2 linked regions of the Kluyveromyces lactis genome follow. The protein of the gene in region 1 binds, or shares a complex with, the protein of each later gene. Links are inferred from orthologs where the notes say so. Each region holds a gene or a part of one and is shown on either strand. Other genes may lie near its edges. The genes, in order: RPC17 and RPC19.

Region 1 (2,723 bases):
CCGGTGGTCAAGGTATTATTTCCTCATTCTATTTGCAAAGTGATGATCTTGATGAAATTGATATCGAATGGACTGGTACTGATACTACTCAAGTTCAATCCAATTTCTTCTCCAAGGGTGAAACTACTACATTTGACCGTGGTGCTTTCCATTCGGTGGACGATCCTCAAGGTTCTTACCACAATTATACCATTGATTGGACTAAGGATGAAATCAATATCTATGTCGACAGTGCACTGGTAAGGACTATCACCAGTGACAATGGTCAAGGATACCCAGAGTCTCCAATGCGTATTTTCACAGGTATTTGGGCTGGTGGTGATTCCCAAAACGAGCCCGGAACCATTGAATGGGCAGGTGGTTTGACCGATTATACCAAAGCTCCATTCAGCATGTATTTGAAAGACGTTATCGTTGTTGATTACTCCACTGGTACAGAATACTCATACTCAGGCACCGATGGTACTTGGGAATCTATTGAAGCTAATGATGGTGAGGTGTATGGTAGATATGATCAAGGAGTAGCAGATTTCGATAAGTTAGCTTCTGGTGGAAGCGTATCAGACGACACTTCATCTTCATCCTCCTCATCCTCCACATCTTCATCTTCAACCAAGACAAGTGCATCTCCATCTACATCCAAATCTTCATCCACTTCCTCATCCTCATCTTCATCCTCATCCTCATCCGCATCATCATCATCCTCATCCTTATCCTCATCCTCCCCCACTACGACTTCTAAATCTAGTACCACAATTCCAACTACTTCCACTGAAAGCACCTTGAACACAACTAGTGCTTCATCTACCAGTGCTTCATCATCCAGTATTACTGCATTGAACACAACATCTTCCTCCACTTCCCTATCATCTTCTTCAACTCAGTTGAATACAACTGAATCTCTAATAACTTCCACGGAAGAACTTGTGACCACAGGTTTCTCATCTTTGGTCACTACCACCGCTGCTGACGAAGAGATCACATCGTATGCCACTGGCGAGACAAGCTCATCAGCTGCTTTAACATCCACACAGTCAGAAAACGCTGCTGCTTTCAATTTACCGCAATTGCTTGCTATCATTCCAGCACTTCTACTTCTCTAATAAATAGTCATTTTGTAATATAAACTAACCTCGTTGAATTTTAATAGGTGCATCTTAATCGCTATGGTACCAGCATCAGCCATGCAACTGGTATGCACAAAGCAGGATACGTATACCCTGAGCACTTGTTTCGTTCATCTAAATCATGATACACGGGATTATTTTTCACCGCTTCGAATATATTGAAAGCCATGCAAAGAGAAGAGATGAGCTGAGTTGAGATCAAAGAGTAGCAAGTAATAAAGACTGTATCGGCCTATACTGAATTATCCAAGTAAAAAGCTTCTCATATAACAAAATTCCAAGAAAATGCGCGTGCTTGAGGAAAAAAACGCTTTTATGAGCGACTACGAAACTTTGCAGTTCCTCATATCATTACAGAATCAACACCGATGGACCTCTGGATCAAAATCAGACAGGAAACACAACAAACCATACTACCATCCAGAACTGCAAACGATAACCAGAGACACGGTAAGGTACATAACACAGCGTTCCACTACAGCAGAAGACCCAGAAGAACCAGAAACGTCGGACAAGACCGTACCCAATAACGCCAACAAATCCACACTGCTGAACCTAACTACAGACCAATTCTCAACACTAATGCAAGAATTAAATGCTTTCCCACTATACAAAGCAGAAAAACTACAAATAGTGAACCAATTACCAACAAACTTGGTCCATTTGTATAGCATAGTCGAAGAGTGCGAATCAAGACTTGACGAAGGTCAGGTGACCTCGCTTCTCGAATGCATCTCCCGCACGTGCCTCTAATTATTATACACCATAATACAATATCTATAATGTTTAAATGCTTGGAGAAAAAAATCACATATAACAGACCGAAATACAATGAGAAAAAAGATCAGGAACATGAGTTTCAATGTTTCCAAGTGACAGTATAAGGGAAAAAAGGGATACCCTAGAATAAAGTAGTTATCAGGGCTTCTGAGTGGGTTAGACTTGCATCAGGACCTTTGAAATAGCTGATACTGATAACGATGGTAAAATTTGGTGAACATTTGAAGCGATCTTTGATTCGTGAGTACAGTTATTACTATATCAGTTACAATGACTTGAAGACGGAGTTACAGGAATCCTTGGAAGCTAACAACGGAAAATGGAACGAGGATTTGGAGACTCAGTTTTTGGAGTCCTTGGAAATTGAATTGGATAAAGTGTACACTTTTTGCAAAGTGAAGCATAACGAGGTAGTGCGTCGTATCAAGCAAGCCCAGGAACAAGTTTCTGTCGCTGTGCGTTCTTTGGATACAAATGTTCCGGTTACAGATTTGGATTTCCAAATCTTAGAAGAAGAATTGTCTGATATCATTGCTGATGTGCATGATTTGGCCAAGTTTGCCAGGTTAAACTACACCGGTTTGCAAAAAATTATTAAGAAGCATGATAAGAATACCAATTTCATCTTGAAACCTATTTTCCAAGTCAGAATGGATGCCAAACCGTTCTTTAAAGAAAATTACGATGAATTGGTGGTGAAACTTTCACAACTTTACGATATCGTTAGAACCAGGGGTAATCCTGTAAAGGGTGATTCTGCTGCTGGTGGGAAACAACAAAATTTCGTTAGACAAACTACAAAGTATTGGGTTCATC
Region 2 (2,001 bases), about 100 kb from region 1:
TATCAAAAGTAACAACTATTTTTTGGGCTTTGGTCCAAAATGATAATGTAACGATGAGAAAACCAAGATTGAAAAAAAAAGAAAAAACTTTTTTTTATACCTTCCTTCTTATAGGTATTTTTTTTGAAAAATGCAATGATGAATGAAGGGAGAAGGAAAACTGATTGATCCTGTCGTGTCTGTACGGTGTTTTGTAAGGGGTTTTCCGTGGAATGATGATATTAGTTCAACAGATTGGAAACAGCACTATACGTGATGATGGAAACTTTAGCTGATAACTGGTTAGGTATACGGACTGTCCTTGTTTTATGATTTGTGAATGATATTTGATACTTGACCCGGATTGTTATGCTAATTCTGTAACGGCCTCCCCTGATGATTTTTGCCAAGGGACTTTGGGTATGTCTCGCTTTGGTCGCATTTTCTCATTTCTTTTAGTTTACTTTGCTTTTTGTTCGGGATCCGTTGTTTATATACTATGGTGTGGTACCCTGAGCGTGGCTATGAGCAACACCTGTGCATTGCGCGGTAACTGATGAAGTGTGTGACACGTGATCTGGTATTTCGCATCAACTTGCTTCTTTCAGTTACCCGGTCAAGACCGGGTAAGCTTTTTGTTTTTTCCTTTAGCATGATTTGGTTTTCCCTCTTCTCTCTATCGAAAAAACCATAATCAATATTGACAAATTGTTCAGCTTAACAGAGTAGGTCATCTCGTCTTATTGACTGTTTGAAAGAAGTACGCACAAACCACCTAAGTGACCATTCATAAGCGCTCTCGGAAATATGGCTGAAGTGGAAAAGCAAGATGTTGATATGCTAGCAGCTGAACAAAATGATCAAGTTGATCAAGTGGAGGAAGAAGTGGACAGTGAAAAGATCAAACTTCTCACAGAAGCTACTTCCGAAGATGGTACTAGTGCTTCTTTCAGAATAACAGATGAAGATCATACCCTTGGTAACACGCTTCGTTATATGATCATGAAAAACCCGGAGGTAGAATTCTGTGGTTACTCTATTCCTCATCCTTCAGAAAACTTTTTGCACATTAGAATTCAAACATACGGCAAAATTACTGCTGTAGAGGCTTTGCACAAGGGTCTTGGAGATCTAATGGACATGTGTGATGCTGTAGAGGACAGATTCACGCAAAGAATCAGGGAAATGTAGAAATTGGTTATCTCCAGCTCCCGCATTAACTATATATAAGAGAATAGAATTAAATACACAACTACATCATCCTTGTATAATACACTATAATATCTATTGATTCTACGTTTATAGCTACTGGTAATCTAGCACATTGGAAGCACCGTTGGATATACCATTGGCAAAAGTAGCTGGAGTGGCTAATGTAATCACGTGACCATTTTGGTAAATTGGTACATTGGTACAAATTTCTTTTTCTCTCTTTTTTGTTTCTTTTTGAAAAATTTGCAAGTTCCCTCATCGCCCTTTGAAACTAATATATAAGCTGCAAACATTATTCAAACCTGTCTCTGATCCTCGTTCATTCAGTATTACAAGTGTGCATTTTTTTTTATCGTTTGGTTCTCAACATCAAGCAACTTATTTCACACATTATACAGAGAACAATGAGTTTCGGCGGTGGAAGAGATCATCAATTTAACAGAAACAACATGGGCAGCACTCATGGTGACTTCCGTGGTAGCAGAGGTTCTGACAGAAACAGCTACAACAGAGGTAATGACTTCCGCGGTGGCCGTAGCTTTGGTCGTGGTCCATCTCGTGATACCAGAGTTGATTTGGTCGCTCCAAACTGGGACGAAGAACTACCAAATTTGCCAGTTTTCGAAAAGAATTTTTACCAAGAACATCCAGATGTTGCTCAAATGAGTGAAAGTGAAGTTATCGAATTTAGAAAGGAAAACGAAATGACCATTTCTGGTCATGACGTTCCAAAACCTATCAGAAGTTTTGATGAAGCTGGTTTCCCATCTTATGTCTTGGATGAAGTTAAGCAAGAAGGTTTCGCCAAAC

What was found.
Region 2: RPC17 (region 1) and RPC19 share a complex: the UniProt entries of both Saccharomyces cerevisiae proteins name them as parts of the RNA polymerase III (Pol III) complex. The link is inferred for Kluyveromyces lactis from reciprocal best matches to the Saccharomyces cerevisiae genes RPC17 and RPC19.

Annotation. Positions count from the first base shown.
Region 1 is NC_006042.1:2,113,910-2,116,632, reverse strand, and holds RPC17 (DNA-directed RNA polymerase III subunit RPC17), read left to right. Parts: upstream 1-1,412; coding exon 1,413-1,880; downstream 1,881-2,723. Other genes in the region: CRH1 (transglycosylase), read left to right, coding at 1-1,103; VTC4 (Vtc4p), read left to right, coding at 2,108-2,723. UniProt on the Saccharomyces cerevisiae protein: DNA-dependent RNA polymerase catalyzes the transcription of DNA into RNA using the four ribonucleoside triphosphates as substrates. Specific peripheric component of RNA polymerase III which synthesizes small RNAs, such as 5S rRNA and tRNAs.
Region 2 is NC_006042.1:2,217,724-2,219,724, reverse strand, and holds RPC19 (DNA-directed RNA polymerase core subunit RPC19), read left to right. Parts: upstream 1-786; coding exon 787-1,170; downstream 1,171-2,001. Other genes in the region: DEAD-box ATP-dependent RNA helicase DBP2, read left to right, coding at 1,596-2,001. UniProt on the Saccharomyces cerevisiae protein: DNA-dependent RNA polymerases catalyze the transcription of DNA into RNA using the four ribonucleoside triphosphates as substrates.